Linked DNA regions of Saccharomyces cerevisiae S288C. The gene in region 1 interacts genetically with each later gene. Each region holds a gene or a part of one and is shown on either strand. Other genes may lie near its edges. The genes, in order: BRE4, DET1 and NBA1.

What was found.
Region 2: mutations in BRE4 (region 1) and DET1 together harm fitness more than expected from each alone (negative genetic interaction), as found in Saccharomyces cerevisiae (one large-scale study listed by BioGRID).
Region 3: mutations in BRE4 (region 1) and NBA1 together harm fitness more than expected from each alone (negative genetic interaction), as found in Saccharomyces cerevisiae (one large-scale study listed by BioGRID).

What each region holds. Positions count from the first base shown.
Region 1 is NC_001136.10:40,486-44,244, forward strand, and holds the start of BRE4 (Bre4p), read right to left. Parts: upstream 1,760-3,759; coding exon 1-1,759. Other genes in the region: tyrosine protein phosphatase PTP1, read left to right, coding at 2,215-3,222; Hsp70 family ATPase SSB1, read left to right, coding at 3,580-3,759.
Region 2 is NC_001136.10:556,397-560,008, forward strand, and holds DET1 (acid phosphatase DET1), read right to left. Parts: upstream 1,665-3,612; coding exon 660-1,664; downstream 1-659. Other genes in the region: triose-phosphate isomerase TPI1, read right to left, coding at 1-76; protein serine/threonine kinase activating protein DBF4, read right to left, coding at 2,115-3,612. UniProt on the Saccharomyces cerevisiae protein: Metal-independent, broad-range acid phosphatase. Involved, either directly or indirectly, in the bidirectional transport of sterols between the endoplasmic reticulum and the plasma membrane.
Region 3 is NC_001147.6:196,561-200,291, forward strand, and holds NBA1 (Nba1p), read right to left. Parts: upstream 2,166-3,731; coding exon 660-2,165; downstream 1-659. Other genes in the region: succinate dehydrogenase assembly factor SDH5, read left to right, coding at 1-435; kinetochore-associated Ndc80 complex subunit NUF2, read left to right, coding at 2,382-3,731.

The DNA.
Region 1 (3,759 bases):
GAGCAATTCTCCAGTGAATATTCTCACCCAAAACTTGGCAATCGTGGATAACAGTAACTAGCTGCCTTGCGGAGTTTCTCAAATATCTTAGAAAAAGGAAAATATCGACAGACTCTTCGTCATTCAACAGTTCCTGTGAAAAAAAACTAGAATTCACAAAATCCCTGTAACAAACATCTAGTTTGTAAATTTTCCTCTTTAATTTAGAATGCGAGTGACTTAATATTTTGACACACTCATCTAAGTTGTTTTTTTGATTTGGAGACTCGTATTTCTTTAGTACTCTTGATAGATTTTCCAAAACGAAGATCATTTCCAGTATTAAGTTGAAGATGCTTTTCGAGAAGGACGCCTTTAATGCATTAATGTAGATTTCATTTTTTAAAAGCCCCGGACCGATAGGCTTAAAGGCACTGGGCGTGTTTTCTCTTGTTGGAATTCCTGAAGATTGAGGGCTAGCGCTTGCTTCTTTGCTCAGGGTCGCAGAATCCGATCTATACTTCTCCAATTCTTCATACATCTTTTTCAATTCATCATCATTAAAAATTTTGGGTGCAATGGGTAATACTCTCAGAGAAGTTTCCATGGCAGTTAAAGAATTTCTTAAACTCTTCAACGATTGAAGGTCAAACCTGGAAATTGTCAACTGATTTACAAAATCTCTAAAACCTTGAGATAAATCAATGTTTAGTGTTTTCACCATTTTTACTTGGGCTAGGTAAATTTGTTCTTTGGACTTTATTAATTCAGTATCTACTAGTGCCATTAAAAAGGTCTTTGTGGTCTGTAGACACTTGTTATAATGTTCCATTAACTCTGCATTGCCACTATGTGGTGATACACATACACAAACCAAGAGAGATAGCAAAAGGCCGAAGAGATATGAGATTCCAAAATCCCAAAAAATTTGCCACTTCAAATCAAACTTGGATGAGGCCAACCGAACTGTATGAGTGAATATAATCGATATCGAAAACGAAGTTGTGAAATAGAAGAACCGACGGTAAACAGACCTTAGCCAGATGGCAAATAAGAGGGCCATAGTCAGACTCTGAAATAAAATTCCTCCCTGGTAGTTTGCGGTCGGCTTTGTCGCTGTGGAAATGTACCATGCCAAAGCCGACCATCCCAGGCCAAAACTTGCGCCGATAATGGAGCTTATAGTCATTTCCAGTTGAACACCAATATTTCTGACCGGATGATGTATAAGTACTGCGATGGGTAGAAAATACCTGAACTCATGGCCAATCCACCTACCAGAAGGCCTGATAACGCAAATCACGATAGCAATGAAATAAGCAATAAAAAACTTGAATATGGATACCCCATTTTTTCTAATATCTCTAGGGAAATGAATAATGGGCCTGTAGATAGCAGTCCAAACATATTCGGAAAGCTTGGTAAAACCAGATTGCAGTTTTTTCCTTGCAGCGCCATTGTCGTCATCGATGTCGCTGTTAGGAGACCTAGCTTTGCTGTCCGGCTTGGTAAAAGCAGCATCAAAAAACCCATCTCTCAGCTCTTCCAGCCCAAAGTCCTCTACTTCCTCCCAGTGTTTGTCCTTAACCAAATTTTCCAGCCGCATTTGCGATAAGGATGCCACGGATTGTTGTGGGCTTCCTGCAAAGCTAAGCCCGCTTATACCGGCAGGATTCTTATAGTTAAGTTCATGTAGTGACCTGAGTGATGTTTGAGAGTATGAACCTTTCACAATATCAGGATCAGGAGTGGGACTTCGATCTCGCTCATATCTTTTCATGAGGACCTGTTACAATTCCAGCACTATACTGTACATGCTTTCCTTAGTGGAGCACAAAGCAAGTTAAAAATGAACTTTAAATTGATTAAAGTGTTAGTGACGCTTAAACTCGTTTTCCTGCGCGTATTTCACGCAATCTATACATAATCATCTTTGATAATGTTATATCGCCTTTCATTTCCAGATTTTGTTCACTGAAAAGTCTTATCGGAAACCTAACTTTGGGCGACAGGGTTATTGTTTATAATTTGTAGGTGTTCCATTTTTTTCTTTGTACTTTTTTAGGTTAACGTAATATTTAATTAGGTCATTTTTAGGGCGTTTAGTATTAGAAAAATTCATTTGTACACACTATTAAGAGGAAGGCAAACTATATTTACATTTTATTGAGGAAAAGGGTTCATCGAGGAGTTATCAAGAAAAGCGTTTGTTAGTAGTAGTTTGCGACAGTGGAGATGGCAGCTGCACCATGGTATATTAGACAGCGTGACACGGATTTATTGGGTAAATTCAAGTTCATACAGAATCAAGAAGACGGCAGATTAAGGGAAGCTACAAACGGAACGGTGAATTCACGATGGTCGTTGGGGGTCAGCATAGAACCTCGTAACGATGCTAGAAACAGATACGTTAACATTATGCCGTATGAGAGGAACCGCGTTCATTTGAAGACTCTATCCGGGAATGATTACATTAATGCCTCGTATGTCAAAGTGAACGTGCCAGGGCAGAGCATCGAACCGGGCTACTATATTGCTACTCAAGGTCCCACGCGTAAAACTTGGGATCAGTTTTGGCAAATGTGCTATCACAATTGTCCTTTAGACAATATTGTCATTGTGATGGTCACGCCTCTGGTAGAATACAATAGGGAGAAGTGCTACCAGTACTGGCCTCGCGGTGGTGTAGACGATACGGTTAGAATAGCATCAAAATGGGAAAGTCCGGGCGGCGCCAATGATATGACTCAATTTCCCTCTGATTTGAAAATAGAGTTTGTTAACGTACATAAGGTGAAGGACTATTATACGGTCACCGATATCAAACTCACACCCACGGACCCTCTTGTAGGACCTGTCAAAACTGTTCACCACTTTTACTTCGACCTTTGGAAAGATATGAACAAGCCAGAGGAAGTAGTACCCATAATGGAATTATGCGCTCACTCCCACAGCTTGAATTCCCGCGGGAACCCCATTATCGTACACTGTTCCGCAGGCGTGGGCAGAACGGGGACGTTCATTGCCCTAGATCATCTCATGCATGATACCTTGGATTTTAAAAATATTACAGAACGGTCAAGGCATTCAGACAGGGCTACAGAGGAGTACACACGGGACTTGATCGAACAGATCGTGTTACAGTTGCGCTCGCAAAGAATGAAAATGGTTCAGACAAAGGATCAGTTCCTATTTATCTACCATGCTGCCAAGTATCTTAACAGTCTTTCCGTGAACCAATAGACAGCTATATAAAAGTTCCTAATTGTGCATTTTTTCAATAACAATACTTATTCATCCTTATAATTATATTCTAGCTTCGTTGTCATGGGAACATAGCCCATACACCGCAGTTATTTATGATCATTTCGAACGGGAAGTATGGATGAATCTTTTTTTTTTTTTTTTTATAGCACGCAACTGAAAAAAAAAAAAAGAAAAATTTTTCATCTTCGCTCGACGTTTCTTTTGTAGTACTCATCTCTTTTTATATAAAGATTAATTAGTTATTGTCGCTTTGCTTTTCCTTCTTTAAAAAATGTTTCTTGCTTTTGGATTTTCAGATGTCCCAAGATCATTACAGTATTTTAATTGAACAAAATGGCTGAAGGTGTTTTCCAAGGTGCTATCGGTATCGATTTAGGTACAACCTACTCTTGTGTTGCTACTTACGAATCCTCCGTTGAAATTATTGCCAACGAACAAGGTAACAGAGTCACCCCATCTTTCGTTGCTTTCACTCCAGAAGAAAGATTGATTGGTGATGCTGCCAAGAACCAA
Region 2 (3,612 bases), 520 kb from region 1:
TTTCAACAATTTCCTTAATGGATTGTTTGGAACCGTTTAATTTAAAGTTACCACCGACAAAGAAAGTTCTAGCCATTTTTAGTTTATGTATGTGTTTTTTGTAGTTATAGATTTAAGCAAGAAAAGAATACAAACAAAAAATTGAAAAAGATTGATTTAGAATTAAAAAGAAAAATATTTACGTAAGAAGGGAAAATAGTAAATGTTGCAAGTTCACTAAACTCCTAAATTATGCTGCCCTTTATATTCCCTGTTACAGCAGCCGAGCCAAAGGTATATAGGCTCCTTTGCATTAGCATGCGTAACAAACCACCTGTCAGTTTCAACCGAGGTGGTATCCGAGAGAATTGTGTGATTGCTTTAATTAATTTCGGAGAATCTCACATGCCACTGAAGATTAAAAACTGGATGCCAGAAAAGGGGTGTCCAGGTGTAACATCAATAGAGGAAGCTGAAAAGTCTTAGAACGGGTAATCTTCCACCAACCTGATGGGTTCCTAGATATAATCTCGAAGGGAATAAGTAGGGTGATACCGCAGAAGTGTCTGAATGTATTAAGGTCCTCACAGTTTAAATCCCGCTCACACTAACGTAGGATTATTATAACTCAAAAAAATGGCATTATTCTAAGTAAGTTAAATATCCGTAATCTTTAAACACTATGTAGTTAGGTCTCCCTCACAATCAGTCCATTTGGGTAGCACGGTCCTCAGGACGTATCTATTGATGGATTCGTCCAGTTCCATCACCATTACGCTCCCGTTAGGAACATTGGTAAACGATTCAAACTCTTCGTATGTCCATCTAAACCATTTCATCAGGAATACTCTGGAATAAATACCATGTGTAACTAGGACAACAACATCTCTGGGTCTTCTCTCTTGCCTATCATGGAAGTGCCTGAATAAAGTCTCTTGGAAACTGGCGACTCTGTCATATACATCTGCCGCACTTTCTCCATGAGGGAATCTGAAGAAGAAATGACCATACGTAGATCTCTTCTTCATAACGTCCTGCATGCTATTGATTTTTTGGAAATTACCAAAATCTTGTTCCCTTATTCTTGGCTCATCCTTAACCCGATATTGCAGATAACATTTTCCAGGCTTCCCTTCACAAATATTATCTTCATTATTTTCGTAAACACCACCAGTATTATTAAGTCCTCTCGGCCAAAATGCATGTTTCTGTTTACCATGTGGATCATATCTCATATCTTCACATATACGAACACCACTGTTTAATTCATTATATTCATCGATGACGTCCAAAATACCTTTCAATGTTTCCCTTGCTCTTCTATAGGGTGATGTATAAAAAACTATGTTTGTGTCTTTTTCTCTACTCAGCCTGGTATAGTCCTTCAGCGGTAAAGTTCTCCTGCTACTTTCATCTTTAATATACTTCTTAGCCAAATCCTCCACCAAGTTGTGATCGTCTACGTTTAAAACACGTAATAAGTCAATACCAGCTTGTCTAGCTTGGATTTGACCTGTTTTCGTTAAAGAAATCAGATGGTTAGGAATATAACCATTGACCTCCTTGTTTTTATTTGATTCGCTTTCCCCATGCCTTATTAGTACAATTAACCTAGGTCTGGCATTCGTAAAAGAACCGTGACTGCCAGCAACATCTTCACTAACATGAACATTCTCTTCACACATTTCTTTTACTAATACTCTGAGTTATTCAAATGGAATGCTGTAGCGTAAGTTCTTTTATGTTGAACCATGAATACGAGCTGCAATTAATGCAGTTGAGAACTAGCTTTTTTTTTTTCATGCCTCTCGGTCTCTGCAGGATATCGGGTAAAAATGAAAACTGGGACATTAACCGCGGTGGGTACTCGATCATTATTTGTTCAGAATGAGTTATGATATGAACGGTAATTAATCTAGATGATAATATATATATGTATATGTATATATATGCAATTGATAATATATGGACGAGTAAATAAGAGTTAAGTCAATAGCAAGAAAGTAACAAGGGTGAATGAGAAAGTGATTCAATAACATTGCCGTTGATAGCTTTTTTGTTCCGAGCAGCAATGGAAACGGAACAATACTATTTTGATTTTATCACTAAAAGCTACTGCACTTTACGTCGTGTCCCTATATTTGAAATCTGAGATTTTCAATTAACGAGTCAATAGCCTCAAAATTTAAATCGTTTTCAGCGAAAGACAAATGCTTCTCAGAAACTATGTGTTGTTCTAAAGATTCGTATTTTACACGACAATTTTCACAGTATCCGGAATTTTTTACCGTTTCTTTCTTCACCGGCTGTGCTGTCTGTGCTGTCTGTGCGTTAAAATGTAAGGTGACGTTTGTGGAAGTTGATTTCTTCGATGCTGTTGGAGATTCTGTGGTTGTTATCTTGATGTCATTATGAACTTTGGAGTCTGCGGAGACTGATTTGGTAGCTACCTTAGGGAAATTCTGGGGCTTTCTATTAGTTTCTAAGTGTACAGCACTATCTTTGCCCGTCTCTTTCGAAGGGGCTTCGTCTTTTTTCAAAGCATTAAAATCTAATCTGTGTCTATTTTCCTTTGATGTTTCAGCAGTAGTTGCTATAGTGGCTGTATAATTTTTGTTATTTCCATTTGTCTGCTTTACTCCCAGCTTTCTATCAACCATTAGTCTACTTAATGACTTCATGTTCTTACTCATGACGCTTGCTCTTGTTGGGCCCAAACCATTGCCAAAAGAGGTTGCCACATCATTAGATTGATGTGCACCACTTGCTTTGATTTCAAATGCCTGACGTGACTTTGTTTTCAAAGTGCACAAATCATCCGGCACTTCTTCAGTTTCTTGCCTTGCAAAAGTAGCTAATACTGGATGGTTTAGTTTTGGTGTGGCAGCCAGCTCTTTTCGCTGTGGGTACTTATTCGATTCTTCTGCTATAGATTGTTTATTTTCTTTTTCTTCTTTCAACGGAGGCTCTTTGGTTTCAGTTTCATTTAATAATATACTATTTTTTTCATCGGTTTGGTCAGCATGTTCATTACGAACATCTTGAACTGCGCTATCATCCGTCTTCTTTAACTCGGTCTTCTCAAAATTTTTTGCCTTTTCTTGCATCCATTTTTTGAAGCTCTTGGTAGAATCGTTGCATGTGTGAGGTATGAATATTAGGTTTTTCGTTTGATCATTAACTGATGACGTATTCAGTAAGGTGTCGGCATGATATTGAAATAGAGCACGAAGTTGCAGTGCATATTTTTTGTTTGCTTTGTCTCTCGAGTATCTCTTTACTACGCGCTTATAAGAACTTTCGTCATAATTCCTATCCCCTATAAAAGGGCATCTTCCGAATGAACCTATTTTCAATATTGGGTAAGGTAGTTCGTCTAAGTTTGTTAGTTCTTGAGGTTTCCATTCCAAAGTTATTATGGGGGCCCAAGTTTGCCATAGGTCATAAAGGTATACATGAGGATATTTAAAGTAGTGAATATCGTCTCTTTTAGTTCTGGGGTCTCTATCCGTTGGTCCATATAATTTTTCATTGTGTAGAAGATTGGACAATGTGGGCGCAGCTAAAGAAGCAGATTTAGTCTTGCTCAAATGATCCAAATCAACATCAAGATTTTTCAGAAATCTGGCAGCC
Region 3 (3,731 bases), on another chromosome or scaffold:
ATTATCAACTCTCAAACAGGGTCCGCTGCATGGTCGTGCGGTCGTAGGTGGTTTAGTAGTGATAAAGATGACCACGACGATGTGGTGACGAGGATTAAAATTGCCCCCATAAAGAGAACTAACGAGCCATTGGATAAGAAAAGAGCTCGGTTGATATATCAATCACGCAAAAGAGGGATCTTGGAGACGGACTTGCTGCTATCTGGGTTCGCTGCCAAATATTTGAAGAAGATGAACGAAGAGGAACTGGAAGAATACGATTCGCTATTGAATGAGTTGGACTGGGACATATACTATTGGGCCACAAAAAATTTCAAAACCAGCCCCTTGCCTGACAAGTGGGCCAATTCTAAATTGCTGAAGCAGCTACAAGAATTCAGTGAAAATAAAGAGAAGGAAATTTTAAGTATGCCGGACTTGTCCAAGTATCAATGAATACAAGCCATTGAATTACTATCACTTTTTTTTATTTGTATATGACTTGTAAATAAACCGGAAGAGAAAGAAACTTATATATTACCACTATACTATACTATACTTATTGCTATTATTATTATTCATTATTAGTATTATAATATATTATTGATATTGATATTGATATTGTTATTGTTATTGTTACTACCACTGTTACTATTACTATTATTATTGTTGTTGCACCATCAAAACCCTTCAAGAGCCTTTGTAGCTTTGTCTAATCTTTTCAGTCCTTCTTCATAGCGGTCCGGATCAAGAACCATGTCTGCTGTTAACCTGGACAAAGAGTCTACTAGTCTCTCCAGGGCACGTTTCTCCTCAATTTTCATCCCCAGTTGCGCAAATTCAGACCCGATTAAGGTTCCCTTTGTCACACTCAACAGTTGATTTAGTGTGTCGATATCAAAGGATCGCAATTCCTTCACAGATTTTTTTTTATTGAGCTTTTTTTTCGTATCCTTCTTGAGTTTAGTTTTCTTGGGCGTTTCCTCAATGATGTCCTCGTACATGTCATCATCTTGTTTGTTTGTCGAAGTAGAGGTATGATTTGCCCTATCATGAATAGCCTTCAATGTGTCGTCACGTTTCAAATTCGATGTAACTCTGCTATCCTCATTGGGTGTGCTGGGCAATGGTCTTGTCAAGTAAGTCTCTTCCTCTGGAGGCATACTCGTTGCCGCAGAATAGTAAGATTCCGATTTTTGTTCACTAACTGTGGAAATCTGAGATGAGTTCTTATAGTGGCCACCAGGTTGGACCGGCGTTGGTAATATTTCTTCGGTTAAAAGATCCCCCTCGCCATCACCTTCTTCGATGAACAACCTTGACCTAGGACGGTCCTTACTTCTGGGCGGAATAGTTGGATTGTAGTCATTGGTTTCAGAACGTATTGGGTTTATCGCTTTGGGTGCTTCGTTGGTGGTTGTATACAACTCGGGTATGACACTGGAAACAATTGAAAGCTTATCGCTAACATTTCCTTCCTCTTCTTCTTCGAGCTGCTCTTGAATAGATTGATGGAATTTGGTATTATAAGTGGAAGATCCGCTCTCGCTGGCCAAATTACCTGATCCTATAGAGGAACGCATAACTTTTTCCTGACGTAGAGGACTAGATAACAGTTTCAGTGAGCCACGACCCTCTACTTTTTTTGAAGTGTTAGAGTTAAACCTTCCCACAGGTTTGGCATTAGTAACTGGTTTAATGACAATTTCGTCTGCATTGGTATTCGATTTTGTGCTTTGGTTATCACTTAGATGTTTTGTCAATGTCGCTTCTGAAGGCAACATGGGCAACGACGGTAACTCGTTCTTGCTCACGGGCTCTTTCAAGGAGTACAAACTATTGGAATCCTTACTTGTGCGCCGTTCTTGGGTCTGTTGCCGGTTTTTGACCACATATGATACTTCAACGCCTTCTTGAATAATTCCAGAGTAGTTGGAAATCATACTTGATCTGTTATCACCAGGTGGCAGCGAAACGTCACCAGCAGGTGATCTCAACAATCTCGATGGTGGTTTAAAGACATCACTTTGATCCGCCTTTTCCTCTGTGATCATTGTCCTGGTAGTTGTGGGAGATGGAAAGAGCCTGTCATCTTTCTCATTGTTCAGTGAATCGATCATTGCTGAAAGTCGCTGCGTATTCAGCGTAGCCCTAGATATCCCGTTTTCTTCCCTCTCTTCTGACATACTTATACACCTATCTGGTTTTGATAATGGTCTTCTTGTTAGTCGAATATATCAGCGTTCTTTCTCTTCTTGATGGTGCCAGCCATTTGATCAAAAGATCGCTTTTCCGAATCGGGACATGTAACAAACAATAACAATTAAAATAAACAATATTATGAAAAAATACTGGTAAAAAGCATGTACTGAGGAGAAAGGCTCCAGCATCCCTTGAGCAAAATGAGTAGGAATCAAGATGTGTTCCCCATTTTGGATCTACAGGAACTAGTTATATGTTTGCAAAGCTGTGATTTTGCGCTAGCCACACAGGAAAATATCTCTAGGCCCACCTCAGACTACATGGTAACCCTTTACAAACAAATCATCGAGAACTTCATGGGTATTTCTGTAGAGTCGTTGCTGAATAGTAGTAACCAAGAAACAGGGGATGGTCACTTACAGGAAGAGAACGAGAACATTTATTTGGACACGTTAAATGTTTTGGTATTGAACAAAATCTGCTTTAAGTTCTTTGAGAACATAGGTGTTCAAGATTTCAATATGACAGATTTGTACAAGCCCGAAGCCCAACGGACACAGCGCTTACTGAGTGCTGTGGTGAATTACGCTCGTTTTAGGGAGGAACGAATGTTCGACTGTAATTCTTTTATTCTTCAAATGGAATCGTTGCTGGGTCAGCTTCGCTCCAAATTCGATGATTATAACTTGATTCAGCAACAGCTAAAGCAATACGAGGACGTAGATGGGGATAATATACCTGATGAGCAAGAGCTCCAAAAGCTGGAAGAGCAAAATAAGGAGCTGGAAATTCAGTTGAAGAAATTGACCAAGATCCAAGAAACGTTATCCATAGATTATAATGACTATAAGATCTCCAAGCAGTCAATCTTTAAAGATCTGGAAGCTCTGAGTTTCCAAATAGTGGAATTAGAGTCCAATCGAGATAAACTGATCAAAATATCCAATACAGACATGGAAGAGTTATCCGAGGGAATCAAAGAGCTAAATGATCTGTTGATACAAAGGAAAAAGACGTTAGACGACTTAACCGCACAACAGAAAAACTTGCAAGATACAGTGACGACGTTCGAAACCATAATTAGTGAGCTCTATGATGTGCTGAGAATAATTTCCAGCGAGGTGCAAGAGTCTAATCGAACTGAAACGGAACTTGTGGGATTAAAGCAAAATTTAATCAACAATAAGCTGAAATTGATGAATGTATTGGAAACAGGTATTATGTATAAATTAGAAATCTTACAAGAACAGTTAGATTTGCAACTCAAGAATTTGGAAAAGCTATCGCAAGATACTAAAGAAGAGTCGCGCCTAAATGATACTAAATTGATGGATCTACAAATCAAATATGAAAATGAAATCAAACCTAAGATTGACAAAACGGACATTTTCATTCAAGAGGAACTGATCAGTGGTAAAATCAATAAATTAAATGATGAAATTAAACAATTACAAAAAGATTTCGAAGTTGAAGTTAAAGAAATTGAGATTGAATATTCTTTATTATCTGGTCATATTAATAAATACATGAATGAAATGCTCGAATATATG